Linked DNA regions of Arabidopsis thaliana. The protein of the gene in region 2 interacts with the protein of the main gene of each other region in a pairwise test. Each region holds a gene or a part of one and is shown on either strand. Other genes may lie near its edges.

Region 1 (4,920 bases), 1.1 Mb from region 2:
ATGGACTGACTTGAGCTGTTCTAAATCGTTAACATTATGATTCTCCCCGTGGTTTACAAAGGTGCAAACGCTACAAGGTTTCGTAACTGCTTCACCAAAACCTTGTATTTCAACACGTTAGAGAGTGTTCCTTCCGAAGTTGAAGCAATACAATTTACACGCAGAATATCATCAATCAGATTCAGATTCAGAATCAGACTGAGAATAAGAGGCGCGGATTAGCCGTGGACCTGGTCCGGCACAACTCCTTGAAATATGGAGTACCAAACATTGATGCCCATCGCTTTGACACGCAACAAAACCTCACGACCGACTCTGCTGGCAATCTCGACAATATCTCCATGATGAGATCATTCGTTAAGGAATATGAATTCATGATTTCAGATCGAACGAAGAAGGAGATTTGTTAAAATTTACATATTAATGTAAGACCTAGAGAAACCTAGCTTATATACTACTAAAGAGACCTAGCTTTCGTGAATTTATTTATCCGATTTTAGTCGGTTAAGAAACACAAAAATGGGCTGATTTAACGTCTAAGTGGGCCTCCAAGCTTGTCTTCTTCAGGATATTCATACCAAGGAGATAAAAATGGACGTGGTAGACTAATTAAGATGATGTTCAAACAGGTCACGCACATTGCAACAGAACGAACAGAACATCAATTGTTGTTGTTGGCTTATCGGTTTAGGTCATCCTTCTCAGACGTGGATTGTGTCTTCGTTTCTTCAGAATCCATACTTAATTTTAGAGGCCAAGAAATAAAGATTCAAACTGAAGTTTTCCAGATATGCATGACCAGCCAAATTGACAATAAAAGGTTACCATTGAGTTGATAATTTGATTCTAGGGTCATTCAATTCATACATATAACGATTTTGATAAATTGGTCTCAAAATATTAAGCTACAGAGCTACATCCGATAAACAAGAAGCAAAGTTCATATGCAAAAACCAAACTAAAGTCATTACATAAAACTTAAGACAATAAAGTTCTTTTACGTAGTAACTTCTTCTCCAAGACACCCTCACATCCATCCTCATTAGGGTTTGGAGACAACTAGAAGTAGCTCCTTTGGTTTGATGAATGTGAATTTGCAGGTATCACCAACAGCAAGGGGATACTCTTTAACCACACGACGCCATCCACCAGAGAAAGCTCCAAACCTCTCCAGATAAACCACATTCCATGATTTCTTCCCATTTGGGTGATGGATCTTGAATACTGTTTTCTCATCCGGCACTTGATCCTTCGATACAGAATTCGGGATCCTCTAAACACTCAAACAAAAGATTCATTCACATACCAATTTTTAGCTCAATACAGAGATTTTGTTTAGAGTGTCTTGGTTTGTGTTATCTTACCAGGAATACGAGATATCCTTGCTTGAACAAGATGGTGAATGCTGCAGCAGTAGATGAAGAGGCACCAGCGTAATCACTTCGGGCTCTAACCACTTTCTCGGTCCTTTTAGAACTTTGGGATTCCTTAGCTGCCCTCTTCCCAAGGTTGAGCTTTCTTCCTTTAGATTCAGCTGCAGTTGTCTGGCCACGGTTAGAAGATACCACTACCTCTTCCTTAATGTCATTTTCCTCTTGTTCTGTTTTGATACGACCTGTTGCATCAACAAAAACTAAAGACTCAATGACTTTATCCAGTTTCACTGTTTCATAATCAGAAAAACAAATCTTACTTACTTGAAGAAGCAAAGAAGGATCTGGATTGTGGAGGTTGCATCATCTCTTTCCCGTCTAGCTTAAAGATGTTCACGGTAAAGTGCATTTTCCCTTTGTGAGTGAAGGTAAGTAACTCACTGTTTCCCAAAGCATTGTCCCTCACAAACTTCTCCCAGCCAGACTTCTCCATGAAGTAAAATCTAGGGTTTTTAGAGATTCCTACTTCCCAAGAGTTTCCCCATTGCGCTCTTATCTTCATCTTACGTGAGAGCTCTTTGTCGGTGAAGCTTCTCGAAAAGTCATGTGGAAGTGCTCTCTTTCATTATGCAAATAAAATGAAGAGACGATATAAGAAGACTAAAATTTCAATAAAGCAAGAATGGTTGATCTAAAGAACGTTTCTTCAACTACAGGGAATCAACAAGTATTTGGTCCACAGTTTCAAATTAACAGAGGACAAATCTCATTCAGAAGAAACAGAGGTGAAAAATAATTCATGACGACTCCTCACATCTAAACTGAGTAATGAGAGAAGCAGCAAAACAATGTTCTTGATATCAGATAAAGAGAATTGACGAAAAGAGTCAACCTTTAAACAAACAGCTAACAAGATTCAACGTTACAAAGGACCAAAAGTTTCAACATTTCCAAACTAAACTAACGAAGTGAACGTTCTTACACATCCCATCAAGTCTTAAGTACAAAGTTTCAAATCTCACCATGTAACAAATATAGTGTGACAAACACAACAAAATGTTTTGGCATAACATTCTTTTCCATTCTTCCATATGTGAGCCCAAAGTTTAATTAGTCCCATCACACGCAAATGACAAACCAAACAAGACAATGAAAAATAACAGAGGGCAGATCTCATCTAAAGGAAACAAAGATGCAAAATAATGCATGAATGCTCACATTCAGACAGAGAACTAAGTGAAGCAACTAAAACAGGAGAAAGACAATGAAAAATAACAGAGGACAGATCTCATCTAGAAGAAACAAAGATGCAAAATAAAGCATGAATCCTCACATTCAGACAGAAAAATACGAGTGTAGAATGAAGAAAGTTCGTTACATAGAGAAGATCTGTGAGTTTTTTTTCCTGATACCCATAAAGACAATTTACGAAAAGTTTCAACCTTTCCAAACTAAAATAACAAGTGTCAAAGTTTAAGACAAACCCCTGTTACAAAGAACCGAAAGTTTCAATCTTTCCAAACTAAGCCAACAAATTTAACAAGGAGAAGAGTTTAGAAGGTTGTTACCTTGTTTTCTGAAGAAACATTTATACTCTGAACAACCTTGAAGAAGCTTTCATTCTTGCGCTCTTCTTTGCACCGAAGATAACCAGCGTTCGTAGCCATCTCTCTAATTCAAGCTCACCCACAAAGCTTTTGCTCTCGTCTCTCTTTCACACTCTCTTCCTATATCTCTCTCCCTCTCTCTTTTGTAAGGACCAAACCTGTTGAAATCTCTACCAAATTTCAAAGGAAAAGATTCAGTCAAAGTGGTTAAAGTTAGAACTGAGAAATAAGTACAATGTGAGGTCATGTACTTTTTGTCACACATAACTCTTATATGTGTTTCTTTAATGTATAAATACAATGTTGGTATTGTCCAATTAAGACGAGGGAGGAGTTGTTATTAACTTATTATCCAATTAAAAATAAAATGTTCAGAAGATGTATTCTATTTATCTAATATATAATTTTAAAATCTTAAATAGATTATAATACTAGTCAATAATTAGCTCAGAAACAAAATCAGGTGGGACAATATTTGTGGACCAAAGTATAAAATTTGCATGATTCAACTGAGAGATGAGCATTTTTCTAGTCAGAGCAAAACTTTGGTTCTCAGTCTTAGTACTAGTCTCGTTGCATAAGTTGTTGAGAGAGTCCAAAACATTAATTGGCGCAGAAAATCAAAACAACAGAGTACTGAACAACGTCCAAGGAGGATGGAGGATGGACTGGCTTGAGTTGTTTTAAACCGTTAAACATTAAGATCCTCTACAAGGTTTCTTAAACGCTTTACAACCTTTGACGAGAATGTTCCATCTTTCAAAGACAGCTTACAAGACCCATTGTTACAGAGAACCAAAAGTTTCAAACTTTAAAAACAAAGCTAACAAGAAGTTGTATAGTTTAAGAACATGAAGACGACTTAGACTAAATAAAAGAACATTAAGGAACTTTTTCTTCAATTATAGTGAAAAAAACAGTGAATATTGTTACATATCCCATTAAGTATTTGACTCCAAAACGTCATCATGAAATCATTTCCATCACACACAAACGACAAACACTGAAAGATATTGAAAAAGAACAGAGGACAGATCTCATACAGAAGAACAATATTGATAATTTAAGCAAATATACTCAGATTAAGACAGAACTAAGAGAAACTGCAAAACCTTGTTCTTAAGTATAAATTTCGTTAAAGAGAGATAGATAAGGTTGATTTAAAAGTAAAATAAAAAAAGCCTAGTTAAGAGAACAAAATGAAATGCTCATTGCTTTCACCTAAATGATAATCTCTCTATCTTCTTCTGATTCTGAATCTGATTCATCATATTCTGGCTGCACCGATGGAGGATGGACTGACTTGAAATGTTTTAAATTGTAAACATTAAGATCCTCTACGTGATCTACAAAGGTGTAAACTGTACCAAATTTAGTAAACGCTTCAAAACCTTGGATTTCAACACGTCGGAGATTGTTCCTTTCGGGATTGAAGTAGTAAACATAAAACGGTTGTTCAGATGTATACTTGCGCATCGAAAACACTATTTCACCCGAAGCAGTCATTCCAACCACGGAAACCTGAGAACGGTATAATTTATCCTCGGTCCAAGTGTAGGCATATTTCGACCATTCCTTTTTCTCGACATCCTCTAGAACCCACACATGCATCTCATCAATGGCATCATCTTTCACATCATCATCATCCACATCATCCCAAAAAATTACAGCTAATTTGCCCTTATAGTTTATCAATTGACCACATTCTAAGCCAATAAAGGTGAAACTTTCGGATCTTAAATCAAAGCAAACTAACACATTACCAGACGTTACATCATGATCATTATCCCAATCTGACGTGTCACCTAAGTAATACAAAACACCATTGATGCATATCCCTTGACTGTAAATATCATGTAGTACACGATATTTTATCTTTTTCCAATTCATATCCCCATCTCCAAAAGTAAGAATTTTACTGTGACCAGGACCAGATGGAT
Region 2 (5,586 bases):
GATTATAGATGGAACACGATGACGGGAAACAAGGATTGAGTTACAGAAAATTAGGAGTTTTTAAATGGGAGTGAAGATAGCATTTCCACTTCTTTGCATTAAGATTGTTCTCCAATTGTGATTTTTTAGATTATAGAAGGAACATGATGAAGAAAAATGAGGACTGTTCTTGTGGCATTGCTTCTCACTTGATTCTTAGGCTATAGGTTATATAAAGCTTCTTTCTTGTACAGTGGATCATGTAGGATTTTGACTCACAAAGTAGCACTTTGGATGCACTATTCTGAGTTATTAGCATGTAGGTCTGATTAAAGGATTGAATTTGAATCTGATGTAATTACAGCTTATCTTGCCGATATTGAGTGGCTTTTCATAGAATGCTATCTATTATCTATCAGAATTCGTCTTTGTCTCATACCTTTTCCCTTTGATTCCAGTCCGAGGTATTTGCAGTGGCATTTGCACTATTAGCAGCCGGGGCGGTGATCCTTACACTAAACGTGCTTCTCCTGGTAAACCACCACTGCTCTCTCCTTGTATCTCGTGCAGATGTTTTTCGTTTGATCACATACTTACAACCATTATGTTGTGTCATGAACAGGGTGGACATATAATCTTCTTCCAAAGCTTGAGCCTTCTAGGTTACTGTTTATTTCCGCTAGACGTTGGAGCCGTGATCTGCATGTTGAAAGACAATGTGATACTGAAGATGGTGGTTGTGTCTGTAACCCTTGCCTGGAGCTCATGGGCTGCTTACCCTTTTATGAGCTCAGCGGTTAACCCAAGAAGAAAAGCACTCGCTCTATACCCCGTCTTCCTCATGTATGTGTCAGTCGGTTTTCTCATCATAGCCATCAATTGAATCCCCAATTTTGAGAAGAAAAAGGGAATCATCACAGGTATTCTCAGGAATCAGCTTGGATAGAAATTTTTCATACATACACAAACCATCCTGAGTTCTGATGATCATGTATAAACATGTTTTGTTACCCTTTTTTGTGGGTTTGGTTAAAAAGAAGATCATCATTTGTATGTGCCCCGCTCTATCTGCATTAAGCTTACATTTATCTTTTTGGCCATAAATACAATTTTTTTACCAAACATTACTTCATATGGTTTCTCGAGATAGTATCGACATGCAATTTTGTTGGTCGTCCACCCAACCCTAAACACGTGTTATAGTATTAACATGGAAATGTGGAAACCAGATCACAACCATGCTAAAACAAGGGTTAAATTTTATTTAGTAATCATTAGCATAATCGAATAGATTATGAACATATTTTTGATATATAATAATACCAAATTCAATATTTGCTTTAAATTTATATTTATATTTTGGAATCGCAATAAAAAAATTGTTTACACAATCCATCATTCGTTATTTTCAAAATTATTCTACTTATTTTATTCATTTCAAAATTATTCGAATACATTAATGAACATCATTCATTTTTCAATTTTTTTTTGTTATTCAACTTATTTATTCATTTTTATTTATTTATTCAACTTTTTAATTTTTATTTTGTTGTTAGCTTCCATTTGCATATGCTTCGTATCGTATATCATCACTTCCAGTTTTTTACCGGTTGGGGGGGGGGGGGGGGAAGAAGCAGAGATGATTCGTCAACAAACAAAAACGAATTTATTTTGAACCAAACCGGATGTATATTTTAAACCGAAATCAAACCGGGAAAACCTGTATTGACGAGCCCTCTTCTTCTTCAGCTAGTGAGAGGCTGCCTCACTTGCTTGCTGGTTTGATACTGCCAAGTTTTTCGCTTTCTCAGCTCTTCCTTCGATGGTAATCTTCAAATTCCTTTCCTTTAGACCCTTATTAATCTTATTGCTTTTGTAATAGACTTGGTTTAGTGTGTTTTTTGTCGTAGCGAGTTTAATCTTGTTGCTGGTTATTGTAAGGTTGGTGCTTTGAATATCATGTCAGAGACTGGTGATTTATGTGTAGAACTTCCCAAAGATGATCCCTTTTATCACCACAAAAAGGTTCAATTTCCTAATTTCTCTGCTCTTCTGTTATCTCAATACTCAAAGCCATTAGCTTTTTTTTTGCCTTATAGTCTAAAGATCAGATTTTTCATGTGCCAAAGTCTTAAAATATTACACTGTTTAGTTTTTCTCATGTTTTGTTTGAGTTTTTATGAAAATGAATTTTCTTATGATTTTGTGTCTGTAGAAGTTCTTGAGTTGCAAAGGTTTATGCGTAAAGGAAACATTGAACCTCAGTGGATCATTATCTCAACAACTGTTGAATGCTGCATTGGAAAAGTTGCTTCATTTTGGACGAATAGTTAATCTCGATAAGGTAAGCAAACATCGTAGGCCATTGTAATGCATGTGAAGTTGCTTAGATGATGGATTGAGTGAAATGCAGGTGGAAGTTTACTTTGGTGAGGATGCTTGCACTCCTGCAGGAATTTACAGTGTTAGAAACGAAATCTCAGCTCTCAGCTGGATCCTTTCGCTTATACCGGTTTCTTGTAAGATGCAAACACAAGTTGATACCTTTGAAGCTCTACGAGCTGCTTTAAAAGGTAGAATCAATGAGGTTGTTGGAGCTGAAAAGGAGAAAGCTAGAGTTGTTGATAGCTATAGATGCGAAAAGGAAAGCAAATTAGTAGAATGGGGTCAGGACAATGGAGTCAAAACCAAATTGCAGATAGCTCGTAAGCTTAACGGTTTTTTTCTGTTATGAAGTTATCAACAGAGATTTAAGTTTATGACAATGTGTTTTATAAATTTGGATAGAAATTGATGGCTATGGACGAGGAGCTATAGCTAGCGAAGACTTGAAATTTGGCGATGTTGCTTTAGAGATTCCAGTCTCAAGTATCATTTCGGAGGAGTATGTGTACAACTCCGACATGGTATATCATTTGAGTTCATCCTGATTTAAAGATTGCGTCAGTTTCATCATAGCAATGCTATATGATGAGTGTTCTCTTGTCTTCAGTACCCAATATTGGAGACGTTTGATGGCATTACATCTGAGACAATGCTGCTCTTATGGACCATGAGGGAAAAGCATAACCTGGACTCGAAATTCAAACCATACTTTGACTCTCTGCAAGAGAATTTTTGTACCGGTAAAATTGTTTGGAGAACTAAATATTCAATTCTTGTAGCAGTGTTTGTTTCAAAGAGACAACAAACATTGATTCTCTCATTGCAGGTTTGAGTTTTGGGGTTGATGCAATCATGGAGCTTGATGGTACATTGCTTTTAGATGAAATAATGCAAGCTAAAGAGGTGTGACTTGATCCCATCTCTTATCTTTTGGTTCTGTGATTTGTATTATGTTCTTGATTCCATTGGCAATTGTTTGTATATCTGCAGCTTTTGCGTGAGAGGTATGATGAATTGATTCCTCTTTTATCGAACCACCGGGAAGTATTTCCACCGGAGCTCTATACATGGGAACATTACTTATGGGCTTGTGAGTTGTATTACTCAAATAGCATGCAAATCAAATTCCCAGATGGAAAGCTGAAGACTTGCTTGATTCCTGTCGCCGGTTTTCTCAACCATTCTGTATGTGTCTTCTCTCGTTCTGCCTCTGGTATACTAAGTAATTCCTATCACTATCCGGAATATGATAATTTGGCGGGTTTTGCAGATATACCCACACATAGTGAAATATGGAAAAGTAGACATTGAGACGAGTTCCTTGAAGTTCCCAGTCTCAAGGCCTTGCAACAAAGGGGAACAATGTTTTCTTAGCTACGGAAACTACTCTAGTTCGCATCTGTTAACATTTTACGGATTTCTACCAAAAGGGGATAACCCGTATGATGTCATTCCCTTAGGTAGTTTAACCTTACCTCATTCTGAGATCACTCAGGCTTACATGCTTTTTTTGCTTTAAGTTGTATCTCTTCCTTGCAGATTTTGATGTCATTGATGATGAAGACATCGAGACCGAGTTTTCTTGGACAACTCACATGTTACGCGGGACTTGGCTATCGAGTAATCACAACATCTTCCACTACGGCTTGCCTACTCCATTGTTGAACTACTTGCGCAAAGCTCATGGTCTTGTTCATCATTCTGAAACAGATGTATATATTCTTCATCACCTTCGTATAACTACATCTATATCTCTATGAATCTAACACTTAAGATATTTTTCTCATTTCTTGATTCTTTTAAGTTATGGAAGAACTTGGAAGTTGAGATAGGAGTACTTGAGAATCTCCAATCCACATTCGACGACATGATGCAAAATCTTGGCGATGCAGATTCTATCGACAGGTATCAGTAGTTGTCTTGTCATGATATACAAAAGCTGAAACAGAGTGACCAATTACTTAGTAATCCGTCTGGTTTTACACTTTTACAGAGAAAACGCGGATTGGGATGTTAAACTAGCGATGGAGTTCAAAGAGCGGCAGAGAAAGATTGTCTCATCCATTCTTGATTCATGTTCTGCAGGTATCAAACTAGTTCAAGAATCCATAACTAACCCACCGGTTTAGCTAAGGTAGAATGAGATGAGAACCTGATCTTGGATTCAGCTTATACTGTATTATGAAATGTATCTTCTTGACAAAGTTAAATTGTGTGAGTTAAAAGACTTTAGTTCAATTTTAGTTACATTTTAGTTACATTTTAGTTACATACTTCCTCTGTTTAATCTCATTAGACACCTCTTTTTTTCTTGCTTATATAATTGCTTCATATCCACGTAATCTCATTAGACACCTCTTTATATAATCTCATTAGAATTTATAAATTTATGTACTTACGTACGTACGTACGTGTGCGACTAACCCTAGACAAATTAACCGAATACTCTTTTTTTTGCAAATGCATCACGCATGGTACCCTAATAGTGGTGTCTCCATCATTTGTCATTACTTTCTGAATGCAAAATGAGTAATCAGATTCATTAACATTTGACTAATACTATATTTTCTCATATTTTTTGTGGGCATAGAGAATTATCAGTATTTTGAGCATATTATAAAAGTAATCTCAAATGGGAAACATAACAAATAATAAAAAAGAATGAAAAAGTTGATGTGGCTGCTGGTGGCAGCAAATTGGCGGACCCCATCTTCCAGGTTACATTCTTGTCGTTTTCCAGCTTCTTAACACAGAGCTATAATCTCATGCACCAAAGAGCATACTAATATCCTATGTCTCCGAGTAATAATCAGCCACGTTTCTATAATAGACACAAGTTGGTGTGACACTGACAAGAAAATAAATAAGATTTATAGAAAGTGGGAACAGAACACAAAAAAAAAGCTGAAACAAAGAGTTCGAGAAAAATTTCGATTCTCTTGCTCGTAAAAGCTTCTTTTGATTCTCTTTGACTCTGTTTTGTGGATAGCTCCTGAAGAAGAAGAAGATGATGGTAGTGAACAGCTTTGATCTATGGCAAAAAGATGTTTTCTTCTCTGCAGCTGAAGAGGTTCAAAAATCTACAGATATGTATGGTTTCTTGTTAGATTTTGATCTTGTAATCTCTTCTTTGAGCTTAGCTTTTGATCTTGCATAAATTAAGAGATTGAGATGTGTTTAATTTGCTATTGTTCTTTACTTGGATTTTAGAATGGAGTCTGC

The links.
Region 1: the proteins of AT2G18850 (region 2) and AT2G16210 interact in a two-hybrid assay, tested with the Arabidopsis thaliana proteins (one large-scale study listed by BioGRID).

The regions. Positions count from the first base shown.
Region 1 is NC_003071.7:7,025,954-7,030,873, forward strand, and holds AT2G16210 (Transcriptional factor B3 family protein), read right to left. Parts: upstream 3,223-4,920; 5' UTR 3,041-3,222; coding exon 2,942-3,040; intron 1,993-2,941; coding exon 1,698-1,992; intron 1,616-1,697; coding exon 1,365-1,615; coding exon of another isoform or gene 1,356-1,364; exon of another isoform or gene 1,274-1,355; coding exon 1,043-1,273; 3' UTR 808-1,042; downstream 1-807. Other genes in the region: AT2G16220 (F-box and associated interaction domains-containing protein), read right to left, coding at 4,202-4,920.
Region 2 is NC_003071.7:8,158,987-8,164,572, forward strand, and holds AT2G18850 (SET domain-containing protein), read left to right. Parts: upstream 1-1,613; 5' UTR 1,614-1,801; coding exon 1,802-1,804; intron 1,805-1,920; coding exon 1,921-2,004; intron 2,005-2,194; coding exon 2,195-2,323; intron 2,324-2,392; coding exon 2,393-2,684; intron 2,685-2,766; coding exon 2,767-2,885; intron 2,886-2,971; coding exon 2,972-3,104; intron 3,105-3,190; coding exon 3,191-3,267; intron 3,268-3,354; coding exon 3,355-3,549; intron 3,550-3,634; coding exon 3,635-3,824; intron 3,825-3,903; coding exon 3,904-4,076; intron 4,077-4,168; coding exon 4,169-4,269; intron 4,270-4,357; coding exon 4,358-4,493; 3' UTR 4,494-4,776; downstream 4,777-5,586. Other genes in the region: AT2G18840 (Integral membrane Yip1 family protein), read left to right, coding at 438-512, 602-862; AT2G18860 (Syntaxin/t-SNARE family protein), read left to right, coding at 5,372-5,454, 5,575-5,586.